Linked DNA regions of Arabidopsis thaliana. The protein of the gene in region 2 interacts with the protein of the main gene of each other region in a pairwise test. Each region holds a gene or a part of one and is shown on either strand. Other genes may lie near its edges.

Region 1 (9,826 bases), on a different chromosome or scaffold from region 2:
TATCACAATATTTAACTCTAACAGAAACGCCATAAACCATGACTTCCTTCGTCCTAGGAATTTGAACAGTGGGTGTTTGTCTTCCATCACTTGATACAGTTGTATCATAGCATAGTTCTTCCTCTGGCGGATGCGAATTTCTTGGAACGATTCCAGGATCCCGCGCAGAAGTGAGGAAGAGAAGGATCAGTACCTATTAAGTATTTACATGATTTTAAAAAAAACATAAATGAAGGAAGAATAATAAACCTGCCCAAAAAAAGCATAATCCAAAAGCCACACAAAAAGTGACAACATTCAAAATAATACTTCAAACTTTATATCTAAGCTAGAGGAAAGAACATAACAAGAAACACAGTAAGATACATGTTATTGAGGTGTGATTTCAAAATTTTGGTAAGATTTTTAACTTATTGTCGTATAATTACAAGTGAATCATACTATAATGCATGTATATAATCAACATTCAAAACTTATAAAAGAGTTGATAAGATCCTATAATATCCCATGATAAGATTATAAGGTATACAAGATACATGTGAACAAGAAATCAAATATCAAATGGGCATTGGAGAAAACTTACAAAGACAGTAAATAGAACTCCTGCCACTAAGAACACATGTCCCGCATTGTTTGGTAAGAGCTCGCGGCGAAGATGTGTTGCAACAAATACAGAAAAGAAACAAACGGGAGTTATGATGAGCAGGAAGGTAAAAGGAATAGACCAAGCATCTGGCCCAAATATCAATCTCCCACCAAACAGAAACTTCTGCAAAAGACCAACAAAAGAGAAGATGATCATCATGTTCAGAATAAATACAGCATAGAGCATTGCATCAAAAGCTACATTCACAAGTGGTAATGGGTTCCATTGAACAAAATCTGACAATAGACTGATAGAGTTCACCAAAAATGCAAGTTCATGCTTGGAGAGTGAACCAATAGTGAATAGAAAGCTCATCAATGTTGTAAATATGGTGATGCATCAGCATGGAACCAAACCAAATCTAACAAATACGGTATATATGTTCAAACTTAGATCTTCGCAATGATAACAATAAATGACACTATCAACAGTGATAGAGTTGAAAAAGATTCGAAATTTAAAGCCACCAAATTCAACATATACAGTCGAATCCAATAAAGCTCACCAATGTAATCTAATTGAATATGATGATACTAATTTCTTCACACAAAAGTACAATTTCCCTCAAAAATGTCCACATTGTTCTCATCAAAACAACAAATCCACTCAGAACATTCTTCTCTGCAATTATTTTTCTTAAAACTAGGACAGTGAAGTCATAAAAATGTCGCCTTTAAGAAAACCTAAATGTAGATTCCAGAAAAGGGAAAAGAGTAAAGCGAAATCGAGACGCCTTAAGAAAGAAAAAGAAAAGCTTACATTACTTCCCTTCCAGGCTTCGAAGACCCGTCCAGCCATTAGAATCAGCGAACGGATCAGACACTCCTCGCTACACTCTCTGACGAATTGGAGGATCCTGAAAATTTTCTACGCCGATTCATTTCACATCAGAACTCCGCCCAAAACCTAAGTGTTGTCTCTCTAGCAACAAAATTCAGGTGGGTGAGAGTAATTTCCAAAACAAAATTGTAGTTTTTGTGTGGTGCGATCTCTTCTCTTCTCTTCTCTTCTCTTCTCTTCTCTTCTCTCTCTCACAAAAGGCGTTTCGTTTCTGGATTGTGTCTCCCGAGACGAACATTACAGTTTTGTTCCTTCATTTTTTTATTACGCATATAAAATTATTTTTGTAATGTTTTAAAAACCGGACCGGTCCGGTCCTGCAGACCAAGAATCGTTCATGTGGCTGAAATTGGGATGAACCGGTATCTGGTCCGGTTTCTAAAACATTTAGCTGCAAGATTTATTCTGAATGGCTAGAGACATGTATTCAAAACTTATAAACTGGATGGGACTACAGTATATCACATGTCACTAGTTCTATGCACAAAAGTCAGGAAATGACAAGTGATAAGAGTCTTAATCATGAAACAATAGGCAAAAATTGCTACCATATTGACAAAAGACTGCCAAATATCCCACCAAATCACATGTCTGTTTGGCACGAAAACAAACATCTTTAATCATTTGTAAAAAAGTTAAATTAATTGTGTGTTTACCATTATAATTGGCCTATCATTGAAAATGGTTATTCAACTTTCCCATTTATGATTCTCTCGGCCACACGACTCACAGATGAACAATAACAACCACACCGACAAAATCTTATAGAAAAAGAAGAAGCAACTACATGATATAACAAACAGCTAAACGACTGAAATTAAAATTTCGCAATCCATCTTAATCATCAACTAATATGAAATATTCAATTTGCATTTTAATATCAATTCCTTCTCTTGCAACTCCGAAACATTATTTGGTTTATCTTCCAACTAGCAACAACCTGATCCCTTTGTAGCTTGACAAGAGTACCACGGTCCAATATGTCTACTACTTTGTTTAGAAACCAAGTCCACTTGCCAATGCTAATATGTCTTAGGTATCCTACAAACAAAGAACCTCATGCTTCTCGATTTTTCGCTTCCATCTTCAATGATTTAAGGTAATCAATGGCTCTATCGATGACTAAGATCGGGTCCACCAGTTCCTCCCCGGGGACTACACTGCGCAAGAGGCTTACAGTCTCAAATATCTTCTCTTCTCCTATCTTGTTACTAGACAGCTTAGAACGTTTCAGAAAACTAATCCTTGTGTTGTCACAACTACCACAGCTCGATTCAGCGTCCCGCATACTCTCATTCGAGGTTTCGAGTATCTTTCTCTTTTTAGCATTTAATGGTTGTCCATAGCTTCCAAGAAATGTTTTTTGGTCCTCACGGCCTGATACTACAATGCTTGGGGAATGGTCTGCGCTTGTAACCTCATCTTCTTCAGAGCAATAACCACTCTCATCTTCAGAGTAAAGCAATGCATTTAGTTCTTCCGAATCCTCCTTCAAATCCGGTTCGCTATTTCCTTGCATTCCGTGACAAACAAACAAATCTTTGTTGCTTCTTTGGAGCTCTTCCTTCATATCAGGACAGGCATGCTGTTTTAGGGTCTCAAAAGATTTCCGTATATCGGAAGCGAGTAGCAAAGTCGTCTGATCTCCAGACTGATCAAACACTAGGAACCTCTTCTGACTACATTGTTCCTCAGCTTTAGATATAACACCGTCTACTTGAAGAGGTACTTGCTTCATACATTGGTTTTGAGGAGGCAAGAACTGCTGCTGTAGGTGGGATGACCCATGAACCCATCCACAATACCCATCAAAATAGGATTGAGAGACTTGGGTAGAAACTTGATAAGATCCACGAGTAGAAAACATGTCGGTGGTGTCGCCGCAGGTTTTAGATACTAAATTCAAGTCTTGCTTCCCGAGATGAGACAGAGCTAGGGAAGACAAGGAACACAAGCGCTGAGTAGGAAACCCAAACCCACGATCTTGTCCCATCCAACACTAAACAAATCAACTATCCAAAACAGAGGACATCATCATCTCAAACAAATCAGCTACTTATAATCAAGAATGGGAGGTCAAAAGATTATGTGTGCAAAGACTGGAACTTACCAACTAAATGGATAGAAGAAACTAGGCTTGAAACAAGAACGATAAGTATCGAGCTACTCTACGTGACGGGCTTCAACAATTGACGGAAATATTCAGCCTGCAAAATACACAACATCAAAGCTAAAACGAAATCAATAAAAAAAAGTTCTGGTGGTTTAAAAATCTAAATATATTGCAATAACATAAACTCATCAAACAAGAAAATAACCTGGCAATCTTGGAGAGGTTGAAAGCATGCAATGACTCTAACTACAATGTTTCCTGTGATACCGTGTTCGTGTTTGAGTGTACGAAATCTTGTCTGTCCCGCTGATTGACAAACCATAACTACTTTCTCCCCAACTGATTCCTTCTCCCAAAACAGAGTATCCAAACGAAGTCTTAAATAATTTGGCGGACAAAGTAAGGGAATGTGAAGAAAAAAGACGACCCCATTACATAAAAAAGCTATGTCTGAAGTAAGATCGCAGTTTACAGAATCACACGACAGAAGACTACTACTGTACGAAAAACATAAGCAGAAAGACACAACCACCACCGCATGCTGTTGCTTTGTTGCTCTTTCTTGTTTTATCTCTGGAGTCAATCTCACTACTTCAAATGAATCTGCAAAATAAACGAGAGCAATAGATTTAGTGCTAGCAAGAAACAGAACACTTTAAAACAAATAACTTAACCTAGAAAAATATGCACAATGCATATTATTACAGAGTTTATAAGTTCTATCTCGAAAACTGAAGATAATAGAAACTCACAAAAGTGGAATGCAAGAGAAGCAAATAGAAGTTCTAAGGAGGAAGCAGAGAGATATTAGTTTCAGTGATGGCGAAGAGAAGTTAGCGAGGAAGAAGATATATACAAGAGAAAAAGACGAAAGTGACCTTCATCATAACAGAGATGCGTGCGTGCGTTAAAGTTTAGGTATCGTGATGCCACAGTGTTTACCAAATCCGATAACAAATGTTTTTGGGAAAATTAGCTGAATTTGGTGGGTTCAAAATCTAAATAGTTGTTTATTTTTCTCGATGTAATTACTAATTAGTAAGATATACTCATAATCCATATTGTTGTTAACATGCTTTTTCGGCTTATTTATATTTGGCTAAAAGATATACATTTGCCCATTTGGTGGAAAAATAAATTATGCCAAATAGCTTGTTTTGGTTGGAAAGAAGAATCAGTCGACTTTCACTTTTCATCACATGTAAACAAATTCAGCTAACGGAATCTAGTATCTTTCAATTCCACCGAAACACAAATATCATTCACATAATATAAAAATGATCATCAATGAAGCTATACAAAAAAAAAAATCCATTTGAAGCCAAAGTATACTTACTTCATGCAATCATGTTTTATAAGACGCTCGCTTATGTATTTTGTTGGTTTCGTACTTTCGTTCATCGTCAGTAAGAAAAGTAGTGAAAGTATCCAATGTGAAGAAGAAGAAGGTCCAATCATTTCTCAAATACTCTCGTTTGCAATGGCTTGACCGTTCAAACCCCAAATCATTTCTACTTTTACTTTTTACCTTTTTGCACCCTCCATTTCCATCTTCTTTGGGTTTCACATTATGTTTTGTCTTCCCATTCTGGTTGGTCTATTTTCATATGGATCTCCAAAACACTTTCGTGGAAAATGTATCTATTGCACTTATAGTGAAAAAACGATGAAATATGTGACGATAAATATAACAAGAAGAAAGGAAAATCCTACAAGACAATTGATTGCTCTTCATCTTTTCTTTATTATAATCTCTTCCAAAATATGTATATTTTTCTATATATACTAAAGTGTTAAGAAAAAAAAACAAGCTTCATTATCATTATAAGACTTCCGTTTTCACTATAGAAGTAGGAACGGTACAAGTCATACTCACTGACTTATAAAAATACAAACAAATAATGATAACATAAGAACATTATTATTGAGATCATAATTTATGACCAATCCACAATAATTTATATTATGAAAATATAAATTCAATATTAGATACTGTAAGATAAGTTTCGAAGGACAAAAAAGGAGATAATTTCTATACAGAAACCCAAATGAACAACCTGCATCACCAAAAATTACCAAGTTAGCCAAAAAAAGTTTTTTTAGCTAGTTAGCCAATGACTTAATCGTATATTATCAATCATAAAACTTGATACCAAAATTATCTAAACCTAATTAATCCCCCAGAAGAAACAGACACGTTCTCTCTTGTCAGAAAATGGCACTGACTAGTAATAATTATACCCAAGATATTTTTCATTGACAATCAAAGACATCTGAAACTATATTCAATAGTGATAGATGTAGAAGACCCATGATTTAGTAACCTGAACCAAATCTTTGATGTACAGATAAGAGAGATCTGGTTGCTCACAATCATACAAGCAGAGTAACATTTAATATTACCACGCCAAATATTTAAGTTATACAAAAACCATTAGGATAATATTACTAATCCGTATAGTATATAAATTAGGATTAATTAAAAGTGGATACACTTAATCCTTACTGGCTTTAATGGTGTCAGGGGCCCAAAACAAACCCTCCACCGTTTCTCTCTTTCTGTGTGTCTCTAAAGCAATCATCATATCCTAGGTCCACCATTTTTATACACATAAAATAACACTCTTCTCATTTTGCGTGGTTAAAAAAAATACACATATATGAGATGTTTTTTTTTGATAAAGACACATATATGAGATGTTGATTTGCTATCTTTTATGTTCTTCAATTCAACAAATGTTCTCGAAAAATATGACATAATAAACTGGCTGAATATCAAGATCATAGTATAATGTGCTCCAAAATGTTGGACCGAGAGTACTTATATAACATCTATATAGTTTACATATATTCACAAAACGCATTAAAAATGCTACATATCACGACTTCAAGTCTTCTAGCATGACCGTGTTTTGTAATGGGTTTCAGAGAATATTGAAATTTAATTTCCTTCTGAGTAAAGGAAAACACGCATGGGAGATGAGTTCACATTCTTTAATTCTTAGATAAAGCAACTAAGTGGGTTTATAGTATAATTTAACTATTTAAGTACACGGAATTAGAGTTATAGTTGAGGAAGAGCTGATCATGTTAATTATTTTTAAATTTTAAATTAAAAAGAAATTTGTACACCTTAAAGGCGAAAATAAAATAAAATTGAGGAGCTTCTAATGGCCACTCCCAAATTTCAAAAGGTATTCATTTCCCATATTTTCGGCATAGAAATTCTAGCTTTTGTTTTATATTTGACCTTTTAATTTGATTTGGTTAATATGTAACGAACATGCGATTATACAATACATTTAAAATAAAAAAAAAAAGAGAAAAGAAGAAGAGCACCATTGTGTATATGCTTTATTTGAGAGAATATATATATTTAATATTGATCTCAAGAAGAATAGTGAAGGTTTTGGTAGGGACAACAGACAATGCATGGAGCCATTTGGTACGTGGATACGCCAACAAAATCATCCACGCTTCGTGCAATTTAAAGCAACCAATACACTTAACCACCACTCTAAGTTCCATTCCTCAATCTTCAAATCAATTGATTATCATATGTATCCCATACGTGTAAGCGTATGTGAAAATAGATTTGGTTCAATTTATAAAAAATAAAAAAGTCAAGAGACATGATTGGATCCACTTATCATTATACTCTATATGCTGACAATAGAACAATATTTTACATAGTATAACTCGGGAGTTGGTCGAGTTCATAGCATCAAAGCGTACTTCAAACACACACTGAGTTGTAACAAGCATGTCCAATTGTTTAGACATGCCACAACCGATATCTTCATGTCAATATCAAATCAAGATGAGAAAGATCGGCTTAGTTCTTCCTAATATCTTTTAACTTCGTAACATCAATTTATATTAGTAGTTTATCCATAGTATGTGAAACCAAGTTGGAAAGACCAAAATCAGAAGTATGATAAACTCCACATACGACGTCAAAAATGTAGATGTCGAAATTCACATACTAATATTTTTGTATTTAGGTTTACGAGGGAGCTCAAATCTTTGATGGGCCGAACATCCAGAGTAATGGGCCAAACTTTTGCACTCACTATTCTCGTCAATAAAATGGTTGGTACCAACACTTATTTTGATAATAAGTGATGATTATTGTTTTTGGAAATACAAAACAAAAAAGTATTTATTTTATGAAAGGAAAAAAAGAAATGTAAATACAGATACATTAGCGTCGAGGCAAGACCATGTGCTCACTCACATGCGGTCTTCTCTTCTCTTCTCATCTTCCCTTTTTATGATTTTCTTTTCCCATTTTCCTCTGCGTTTGATTATCTGAGAGAGAGAGAGAAGAAACTTGTTGAAACAAAATCAACAACAACTTATAGAAGACCAAAAAAAGATTCATAGGATCTTTTGCTTGACAATGAAAGAAGGAAAGGATGGGTTTGTTCGAGCAGATCAGATTGATCTAAAAAGCTTAGACGAGCAACTAGAGAGACACTTAAGCAGAGCTTTGACTTTAGAGAAGAACAAGAAGAAAGATGAAGAAGACACAACCGCCGTCGCCATCGGTGGCTCTGCTTCTTCTTCCCCTGTCACTCTAAACGGCGGCGGATTTGTTGGCAAGAGGAAACAGAGACTTGAGTGGGAGATCGATCCTTCTAAACTTATCATCAAGACTGTTCTTGCTCGTGGCACTTTTGGTACCGTTCATCGTGGTATCTACGACGGTCAAGATGTTGCCGGTTAGTCACTTTCCCGTCGTTCTAGCTTCCTTCTCTCATCGAAACCTTTCCCTTTCATTTTATATTATTAGTTTGTAACTGTGAAATAATGCTAAAGTCTTCAAGTTTAGTTTAAAGTCTCGAATTTAAGAATGGATTACTACATTTGTACTTGAAATGTCGGATCCGAAACAGGCTTTGTACTTGAATAGTTTAGTTCTGTGTTCGTGTTTTTTGACCATGAAACTTGTTAGATTGAAAAAAAGTTTGGATTTTTAAGATTAAAGTTGCTGAATTGTTTTGGATTTGAAGAGTTTTTTTCTTTAGAGGGTAGAAGCAAATCTTGTGATCTCCGTGAAGCCGACACGGGTTTTGCTATCATAAGTGTTTCTTCAGCTACTTGAAAGGTCTCTACTTGGATAATTATGATTCTTTTGCTTTGTGGATCTTTCATGTGATTCCAGCTGTTGTTGTCTCAATCTCTCTTTTTCATGAAATAAATTTTAAAGAAAAAAAGAGTGAATAATAGATCCCTTGAATGCAGTAACTAAAGAGCTTTTTTACTGTTATTAAATTTAAAGTGAAGAAATGAGCTAATCATTGTGGTGAAATTGAGCAGTGAAGTTGCTTGATTGGGGTGAAGAAGGTCATAGATCAGAAGCTGAGATTGTGTCTTTGAGAGCTGATTTTGCTCAGGAGGTTGCTGTTTGGCATAAATTGGATCATCCTAATGTCACCAAGGTTCATATTTCACTTCTGTTTACTTTTTACCATTGTTATATATTGAGGATATAAATAAGATTTGGGTCATCAATGAATGTATATTTTGCAGTTTATAGGAGCAACAATGGGTGCATCAGGGTTACAGTTGCAAACAGAGAGTGGTCCATTAGCTATGCCAAACAATATATGTTGTGTTGTTGTTGAATATCTTCCAGGTGGTGCTTTAAAATCTTACCTGATCAAGAACAGAAGAAGAAAACTAACATTTAAAATTGTTGTTCAGCTCGCTCTTGATCTCGCTAGAGGGTACATTATATTCTCCCTTCTTTCGCTGCCTTCTCAAGTCGTTTATCTGCTCTAATGGTTATTGTTATGTTGCTTTTAGGTTGAGTTACCTTCATTCGCAGAAGATTGTTCACCGAGATGTAAAGACAGAGAATATGTTGTTAGACAAAACCCGGACTGTTAAAATCGCAGATTTTGGAGTTGCGAGAGTTGAAGCATCTAACCCTAATGACATGACAGGAGAGACTGGCACACTTGGCTACATGGCGCCTGAGGTACTATAGTGATAATGCATCATCAAGATTGGTAACAAACCAACTTTTTATAACAAATAAACTTTGGCTGCAGGTTCTCAATGGAAACCCGTATAATCGAAAATGCGATGTATACAGTTTCGGGATCTGCTTATGGGAGATATATTGCTGTGACATGCCATACCCTGACCTTACTTTCTCTGAGGTCACTTCAGCCGTCGTCCGCCAGGTATGGTTGAATAGATTAAGCAAAGAAAAGTTA
Region 2 (9,826 bases):
TGTAGAAACTTAATCGATGCAACCTGATTGGGACACCTTAAGATAATGTTCTTGAGCCGACTGTTAACAATCCATCGCTTGTTACGCGAGAGAGCAGATTCGAGATCAGGGTCTTTCTTCGTTGACCAAAGTGAGAATCTTCGGATTAACAATGGAGCATACTTGGTACCCAGAATCCGATATAACTCTCGTGTCATAGCCATATCAGTCTCTGACTACCAAACCTAATCAAACTCAAACTTCAATTATTGACGAATGCGATTGGTTATAAGCAAAAAGAAATAGAAAAGCCTCCACCTTTAGAGTATCAGAGGAGCAAAACAGAACCCTAATACCGCCACGAAGGAAGTATGATCGGAGGAGATAAGCGAGGAGCAGAAAGGAGAAGCCTTTGAAGTCGATTCATCAGACTCAACAACGCCACAGTTTCGACAAGAGGTAGAAAAGAGATTTTGCTTCTGAACCCGAGATTCGAAGGAACAAATTTTATGCCCTTACTCTCTGCAGCGAAGAGACTGTGGCAGAACAGGGACTAGTGCTGGTGAAAGTGAAAGCTTTCTTCTTTCTAAGACTTCTTTGTTTGGGTTTAGTGTTTGTTGTTTACTCAGTTTTGATTATGATAATTACAATGCATGCTTGCAAATTTCTAACCATTAATTTATAATTCCACAGCTTGCAAATCAAACGTATGAAGAAAATCAAAGTTTCAAGTCATGTATATATACAAACTTCAAAGGGTCCAAAAACTCAAAAGCAAACAAATGCAAATCATAAACACACTAAACACTCAACTTTGAAGTCCTATCTTTTATACAAAAAATCAAAACAAACAAATGAAAGTATTGCAGTGAGTGTCACAACAACACTGTACAAGCCCACACAAGCCTATTCTTTATCTTACGTAAACGCAAACTCTGCAACCACGCCTGTTACCCCTTCTCATTGGCCTTTGGTTGAAATATTTGCACCAGAGACCACAAAATGTCCATCCTCTGCATTACTTTGCTGTTTTGGCTCTGCCATTCATATATCAGTATCTCGATGTTAGTCAGTCATATATATCATACTAATCCAAAGTTCAATCAAAACCAAGGAAAATACTTTGATTTGCTTTGGAATCTCTTTCATGAATTGGGTAATTCGACTTCCTACCTCAGTTACAAAGCATATCCATGTTTTCTCGCCCTGAGTCTCGGTGAAACCTCTTAGGATGACGAGGTCTAAGCTCCTTATGACGTTTGCTATCTCAAGAAAATGGCCACATTCTTCACATAACATCTGTCCAATACCCAAAAATACTTTTAATACACACTCGCAGAACTTGGGACTCGAGTTCAAACAAAGATTAAACTAAACCAAAGAAAAGAGACAAAATGTAAGATTACATACCTCGATAAGCACCATCCCCTGCTTGTTCAGATTCTCCACGATGATCGAGCTTACTTGAAGATGACCTCCAACCTCCACTGCGCAGCTTGAACCTTGCATACCAGTTTCCTTTTGTTGCATCTGAGATTACAAAGGTATAAGCTAATTTTGATATTTACTTCTGATTTTCAGTTGAGTTTTTCTATATATCTCCATGTGCCTAATAATCCTATCTTCTCATTCAAGGATTCAGAAATTTGATCCACTATTTGCTACATCAATCAATCAAACCTAACAAACTGCTTAATGTGTTCATTTACAAACTATGGAGGCTGGAATAAAAATTTCTAGGATAGAACAGAGATTATCAGTTATCAAGAAAGCTGACATTTTTACCTTTTCATTAGCACTTTTACTGAGCTTTTCAGCATGCTTAGTAACATTCTGCAAAAAGAGCATGTGTTTGATCGTTCGTTCTAGCAAAGAATCGATACTGCACTGAAAATGTGACAAAAATATTAGTGAATGACAAAAATATATTATAAGTTAAATTCATTACAAAGGAAGGTGCAAGTAATCTTGTAGCTAGGAAGAGAAAAATCACCTTAGATCCATTAGGCACAAGTTCTCTAAGTTCCTTGATTCGATCTTGAATAAGTTGCCTGTCTCTTGGGCGAGGTCGAGAACTTTCACCAGGTTTGGCCCTCTTTTTGTTCTTCTTGGGTATGTCCAGGGATGTCTGAAACTGATCACTAGAGGAGCTGGGGTACGTAGATGAGAATCCAATTGAAGAAAACGCTCCACAAATATCTGATGAATTTTGTTGGGTATCCACCTCTGCCATTGGTGGCTGATTCATAGCACTATTAATTGGGTTAACAATATTATGCTTCTTCTGACCTGAGGGTTCTGCCAGTTCCATGTTAGTAAGCAATGATTGTACCGATCTGCTCGACATCATATCATCCCTCGCATTACCATCTCTTTGACACACATTAGCAACCACAGCATCTAGAAGATTCTCAGGGCCAGGGTCAAACGTGAGCTGGCTATGACTCATATCGTCTGTTGGTCTCATTGTTGAACCATGTTCAGACTTCAGTAGCTCCTCCTGACCAGTGTTCGTTTGCTTGAAAGCAGAGCCTAACGCTTCTAGTAGCTCGCTGCCAGCAAAAGTATACCCAGATGAGATCAAAGCATCAAATTGACTAGACTCGCAGTTCCTCCCCAGCATACGCTCAGTCTCTTTTATGTATTTATTTCCTTGGTTCTCAGATAGTTGGAACACTTCATTATGGTAAGAACTTTCTTTATCTGTTCTCGAGGTAGCCTGAAAAGTTGAGTCCAGGCGTGGATATGATTGGCTTGTTATCAATCTTTCAGCCTCAATTGCTAAAGCAGATGTGCTTGTATCATTGAGCACATGATTCTTCATATACAGATGTAAATTAGGATCTAAATCCCTTGAATCTTTGCAGCCACTAGTCATTCCCACATGAGGTGCATCCCTGATTATATTAGTACCTACTTGATTCTCATGTTTGGCACCAACCAAGTCAACTGGAAAGCCAAACGTAACACCACTATAACTCCCACAAGTAGATCCTTGCACAACTTCACGACCACCAACAACTTGGGCTGCCTTCTCCATGACAAGACATGACGAAGGAGTATTGTAAGGCATGCTATCACTTCTTCTAGTTTTGTATTGAGTTAGAATATTGGACTCTTCCACGTCCATAGCTTTGTCAACTTCTCCAGAGCAATCAGGGAAAGCCTCAGCATGTAAACCTTCAGAAGGCATTTTTGGCTGCAACAAAATTATACAACACATCATGGTCTACTCAGGAAGTCAGTGGAGGTTTGAGTAACTGTTAGAAGAACCCTAAGCACTTTACTCTCCCCATTTTGCAAATAACAAGAAATCTAGAAAAAACATGAATCCATATTTGAATGAAGAAGATCTTTACCAGACATAACGAATTGTTCATATTACATTGCCTTAAATTTGCTGCATGGTCTGCCAATGGATCCCTAAGTGCCAGAAATAAATGTCGGATATGATTCACAAAATTCACATCTTCATTAACCTGCTCCAAACAAATACAAAATAAGACCAGATATGTATATATGTGCCATCTATTATAAGTGTGCAGGTGTTCTTCCTGGCTATTATTTTGTAACTGCGAACACCGCATCCAATTTTAAGATCTTACTTACTTTACACAAAGAGCCTAGCTGAACAACTCCACATGGACCAACAGCTACTACAAGAATGGTCTGCGGAGAAGGAAGAATAGATATTTTAAAAAGGAAAGTCTCCAGTGGCAAACTTTGAGGATGTTCTTGACAAGTATGTATAATAAAGCAGACAGAAAGAGCACTAAAGAAAAATCCAAATACCTTAATTCCAGCAGAAATTTGACTTTCCCAAACGTTATGAAACTGTAATTAAAAAAAGACATTTGGTTTAAAAACACGAAGAAAACAAATTTAATTTCAGATAGAAAGTCCCTAACCTCAAATGCTGAGTTACAGTTGTTATAATTTTCGGGAAATACCCATTGGTGTTCTCCAGAAACTGCAACTTGTCCTACAATCCTGTTTATATAGATATGATAACATAATTCAACAATAGACCCAAGATTGTTAACTATTGTAAAAGCTAACATCAAGCTCAAGGACACAACAAAAGCTTTGCATTATGTGGCTACTGTCAAATAAAAAAAGAAGGAAAAAGGGCACATCAAACTATAGGCATGATAAGAGTGAATCAGAGCAATATATTCTTACCCTTCCCCTAGAGAATAGACATGATAAGACATCTTTGCCACAGCTAACCCAAGGGGGTCATGTGCTCCATGCATATTCGTCCCATGATGGTCATAGTAAGCATCCTCCAAGGTAAGTACCCTACAGGTGTTCATTATTCAAAAAATTGAGAAACTATCTGGTCAACTAAAACACTAAAACATATAAAGAAATAGAATCCTGAACTGCACACAAAACTTAAAAGTACAGAAACAATCTTCAGACACTTAAACTACAATTGTTAACTTAAAGCTGCTGCATTTCGATATAAGGTTCCATATTTCCACTCTAGCAAGTTGAAGTCAATACACCTAAATCAATTACCACAGTTCTAACTCGTAGACAATTATAATGATCCACCACGCAAAGACAGTAAAGAGAATTGTTTAGATGACTCACATTCGAGATCCTCGATGATTAAGTTGCCAGAACACAGCATAGTCCCAGTCCGTGTTAAAGCAAAAGCTCTTCAGTATCTCTTGAGAAGTAGAACCCATTCTAAAGGGTAAACCTCAAAACCCCGGACTCAAAAACCACAAATCAGAACTCTAAACAGTTGTTTTATACTATCTCCTCCCCAACCTCTAATAAAAAAAAAAAGAAGCTTCTTTTGATTCGTTTTCGATGAGATACAAAGTAACTAACTACCTCTGTAAGAACCTCTTCCAGCTTGTTCCCTTCGTAAACCAGCTCTTGGTTTTATGGGCGGACCTACTTCATCTTGTGATATTTGCCTCTTACCCATCCCTCCCAAAGATACAAACTTTGAATCGGATTACGAATAAAAACCCAAGAAGGAAACTAATTTAGCCCTAGCTCAAACAAAAAACACCGAGAGAATCAGAATTTGAAACAGAGATAGATCTGCTGCAACTGCTACTCGCCATGGGAGAAATCAATATTGAAAATTCAAAAGCTAGAGAAGAAGAAAGAAGACAGTAGAAAAGGAAGCAGAGAGAGACAGAGAGATTGTAAGAAAGAATCGAGTTTAGCTTATGTCAGAAGATATTGATTAACTACAACAGTTGATCTCTGCATCACTCAGAGACACTAACAATCTCAGCCCAGAAATTCGCCGGAAAAAGGAAAGAACAGAGATAGAGATAGAGAGAGAGAGAGGGTAAAGGAGGCAGAGGTAAGCTAAAAGACGTTCCTTTTTAAAAGGGTGAAGGAGAAATCGAGCAAGTAAGCGGGTGAATCACGCACCATGCTCATTTTAGCAACGAAAGGCCAAGGATCGGTGTGCGCATGTTAACTATTCGAGTTAGTGGGATGGTGAGTGTGTGTGTGTTTGAGGGTATGGGATTTTATGGAGATAGGATCTCTCTCTCTTATAGAGTAATGGCCAGCAAAATGATTCACCAACTGAACTTTGCTTCCTTCTTTACTTTTTTTTTTACCCATTACTCACAAATTTATAAAATATTTTACACATTGCACTAATTTATCGTGTGTTTAATTACAAATTCATCACATTAACATCACAATCTTTTTTGTATTTCCCGCGGAAATTGTGCGCTAAACATTGTATACTCGGCTCGTTTACCGAAGTTGTAGGAAGTCTACTATGAATTGTATATCCCATGGGAGAAGAGAGTGATGAGGCTAGAGCTGCGGAATTAGTGGTAGGATTCTTAAAGGCAAGAGTTTGTGAGTCGAACCCAATTGTCTTTCTTGATAAGTTTGTATCATATATTTTATCTACAGAGTAGATAATTCGAATCTCGTATATGTATAAAGAGGTTAACCGTCTAGCAAAAATATTAGTGAACTATGTATATACTTTACTTTAAGGTGTCTATTTGTTTGATTTGACTCATACGTTGGTGGATAAGATTGTAAAAAAAAATGTTTGAGGAATTGCGTTTTCGAGGCTCATTCGTCTATAGTTTAATTTTTTTTTTATTTTGAATAAATTTTGAAGAGACAATTGTTTTTCCCATATACTATTAAAATATAATACTTTTGTAATAAAAAACCTATGATATTTAAAATGTTGTACATGTTTTATTACAACTTCCATAATAATTTTCCTTCTAATTCATAAGATAAAATATTCCGAAAATTTAGCAAGTGTCCCTCGTAGTCGTAGTGACAATCCTACTATATTATTTGGGAAGTACATTTTAAATATAACCTTAATTTTTGTAAGTAATTACATAGGTATGCCATTAGAAATAAAATTTTAAAAAGTAAATTAATTTATCTCTTTAAGGATTAAAAAGTCAAATACTAATTTAATTAATTAAATTAATTAAAAAACGAAATACAATATTAATTTCCAAAAATAATAGCCAATCAAAATCAACATATAAGATTTGATATCTAAATTTAATTAATTTAATTTAATTAGAAAAACGAAATAGATTATTAATTTCTAAAAAAGTAACCAATTAAAATCAACAAACTATATTTGGTATCTAAATTATCATATTAATTTTTTATTAATTATTATAGTTCACTTCTCATCTTTATATGATTCTATTTATACGGAAAAATAATATCATCATTATAAAAAAATAATTAGAGTTTTTTCGCATATGCCATAATTTGAATTTTTAAAAACAAATATAAACTGTTCAATACATGAAATAATATTATAACGGGTGAAAAATAGATTTAAGAAAACTTTCTACTGAGTAAGGGGACATAAATTTGAAATATTCATATTCAATTTCATACATATTATATTGAAAATTTATAATCTTATATATTACAATAGTTAATAACATATTAGATGTGATTCAATTTTTAATATAAGCTGAAAAATCCTAGAATTGACGGGTTTAGATCGATATTAATACAAGATGGTATACTACATGTGAAACTCTTAAATTAACAATCAAACTACAAGTGTATAATCTTAAACACTAAACAATATAGATAATATCAACAAAACATATACAACTCACAGTTTACTATACATTTAAAATCAAATAAAATAATATCATATATTTTTAAATCATCTTTACAATAAAAGTTTTTAGTTTAACTAAAATATAAGCCTACCTGCGGTATACTGCAAATTAATCTCTAGATTATAGGACTTATTGGATCTAAAGACGGGTCATCAAAGATTTCCTAAACTGAAGCAAAATATACTGAATATTCAAATATCTATCTGTTACCAAATTATAAACAAATAAGTCAATTTAATATTTTATATATGAAATCAATTAAATCTTAATCACATAAAATTAGCACAAAAAAGAAGTATTCAACAATTAAAAATTATCAAATCTCTGTGTTATATAAGTTTTGATACAATATTTGAATAAAGTGTAATATACCTTTTTAATTTGTATTCTTTAACTAATTTAAGCTAACTAATATATTTGCTAATCTTATATCTATTAAAACCGACTATCGTTTCTTATCTCTATAGTATTTTTGCAAGACTTTTTTGGTGGATTTGGATAAAAATGCATTCGGGTCATATGGTACATTTCCCTATTAAATAAATATGGTGCATACCCTTTTAATTTGTATTCTTTAACTAATTTAAGCTAACTAATATATTTGCTAATCTTATATCTATCAAAACCGACTATCGCTTCTTATCTTTATAGTATTTTTGCAAGACTTTTTTGGTGGATTTGGATAAAAATGCATTCGGGTCATATGGTACATTTCCCTATTAAATAAATATGGTGCACTCCTATGTTATTAGCTAAAATATTTAGATTATAATTCAGAGTCATATCATTAATAAAATTAATATTAATAAAATAAATGACTTTTTGGCAAGACGGATTTGGAGGGACGGGTTTTTGAATCAACATTAATAAAAAAGTAAAATATAATTAATCCACTGTTTCAATATGGGTTAAATCTTTAATTTATTATTTTTTAAGACCACTAATATTAAACATATCAAATCATCCTAATTTAGAAAAAATTATATAAAACCAAAAATGTTATATGGTATGTATAATGTTACTATATATAAAATTAAACTATAAAATATAAATGTATTAGAGAATGATACAATTTGCAAAACTTTTATATATAAAAAATAATTCTAAAATTTTAAAAATTACTACTTTGAAAAAAATCATGGGACGGATAAAAAAATTACAGAACGTGTTTTATTTTGGAATTGGGTTATATGGTGGATGTATTTGAATCAATATTTATAAAATTTTAAAATATTATTAATATGTTGTTTTAATAGGGGTCAAAACTTCAGTTTTTTTAACAATTGTCTCATGAATTCGTGGTATACCGTTACTTAATAACAATTATAAACTGTAAAATATAAATATTTTGTAAAAATAAAATTTGCAAGTTTTAATATATATTACTTTTAAAAATAAATCGTCCCGCGGTATACCGCGGATTAAAATCTAGTAATTATTTATAACTACAATTTGTTATTCTATTTTCTCGCAATGAATTTGAGGATTTTCAGCTTTAGAAAAAAAAATGATTTCATTTGCCAATATAAAGTTGAAACATATTGGAACTTTATAACTTGTCCATACATATTCTCACAAAATGATTAACTACATCGCTTCTTTTATTTCCCTTTTTGTATTGTCAACAAAAATCCAATGTCTTTTTCATACTCACTCATTTTGTCTTGTTTACCATAATCATCCTTGGACAAAGCAAATACCCTCGAATAATTTATGTGCTGGCCTATGTTATTTTTGGTTGCGGGTCCGTTATATAACCAAAATCACATAAGCTAATAATCACTAATATTTGTCAAAACTTATAGTCACCTTTAAATTGAAATATTGATAACTCATGTGTGTAAAATTTAGACGCAAGTTAAACAGCAAAAACATCCAATTCTTAGAGTAGGATGTTCAATCCAAATAAACCAAACCGGCTCAATCTCTGAACCGAAAACAACTGATTCTACAAGCAAACAAAACCTTAATTTGACTATTTTCTCTATTTTTGTCATTTAATAAACCGAGACAGAATCTGATCCAAACCAAAGAAGTAAAATACCAAACCAACACTTTTTTAGAAACATAAAGATAGGTAGTTAAATTATAACCAAAATTGAAATCGCATCAAACCACATTATACCACTCGGTAACATGTTTTAGATAGATACAAAATATTTTAAATCGTAACTTTTTAAATTTTAAAACTAACTAAAATCTAGATTGTAACATCTCTAATTTTAAACTATTTGTGAATAGTTTGTAACGATATTTTTCAAGTGTAAAATTACTTTGCAAAAACAAGAACAAAAACAACAATTGTTAGGCTCGAATTGACGGCCTAAAACAATTCCTAGTCCAAGTTTTTTTTTAAGATGTTGACATTTACAAAGATGATCTTTGTAAATACATTTATCTCAACAATTCACAAGTGTTTTCTGTCGACCATTTGGTAAGTTCATCAAAACCCCAAGGGTTGAGAGTATTTTGAAATATGTATATCAGATTTGGGTTCCACTTAGAAATTAAAAAATGATGATGTTTTACAATTGATAGCTCATAATATTCTATCTGGAGGCTCTTATTATATGCTCTCATGACTTGTTTCCATCAATGTGTTCTAATGCAACGCACCAACTCAACATCTATTTTCCCCTTTTCATCATTTTTATCTGTTAACTTGTTTAGCTGTAATTCAATTAATAATCCATATAAATATATTATCCTTCATTTTTAATCATTCTTTT

The links.
Region 1: the proteins of CPUORF7 (region 2) and AT5G50010 interact in binary tests that used the Arabidopsis thaliana proteins (3 or more experiments, as listed by UniProt).

Annotation. Positions count from the first base shown.
Region 1 is NC_003076.8:20,343,209-20,353,034, reverse strand, and holds AT5G50010 (transcription factor bHLH145), read right to left. Parts: upstream 4,421-9,826; 5' UTR 4,352-4,420; intron 4,203-4,351; 5' UTR 3,805-4,202; intron 3,694-3,804; 5' UTR 3,597-3,693; intron 3,499-3,596; 5' UTR 3,480-3,498; coding exon 2,544-3,479; 3' UTR 2,205-2,543; downstream 1-2,204. Other genes in the region: AT5G50020 (DHHC-type zinc finger family protein), read right to left, coding at 1-193, 584-769, 1,406-1,502, 1,794-1,825; AT5G50000 (Protein kinase superfamily protein), read left to right, coding at 8,002-8,323, 8,922-9,043, 9,135-9,331, 9,411-9,585, 9,659-9,793.
Region 2 is NC_003071.7:13,334,528-13,344,353, reverse strand, and holds CPUORF7 (transcription factor bHLH155-like protein), read right to left. Parts: upstream 5,268-9,826; 5' UTR 4,925-5,267; coding exon of another isoform or gene 4,828-4,924; 5' UTR 4,677-4,827; coding exon 4,579-4,676; intron 4,282-4,578; coding exon 4,162-4,281; intron 3,970-4,161; coding exon 3,888-3,969; intron 3,814-3,887; coding exon 3,772-3,813; intron 3,649-3,771; coding exon 3,589-3,648; intron 3,459-3,588; coding exon 3,339-3,458; intron 3,179-3,338; coding exon 1,973-3,178; intron 1,867-1,972; coding exon 1,765-1,866; intron 1,510-1,764; coding exon 1,390-1,509; intron 1,351-1,389; coding exon of another isoform or gene 1,279-1,350; coding exon 1,102-1,278; coding exon of another isoform or gene 1,045-1,101; intron 1,017-1,044; coding exon 930-1,016; 3' UTR 692-929; downstream 1-691. Other genes in the region: AT2G31290 (Ubiquitin carboxyl-terminal hydrolase family protein), read right to left, coding at 1-203. UniProt on the Arabidopsis thaliana protein: Transcription factor that may regulate root development.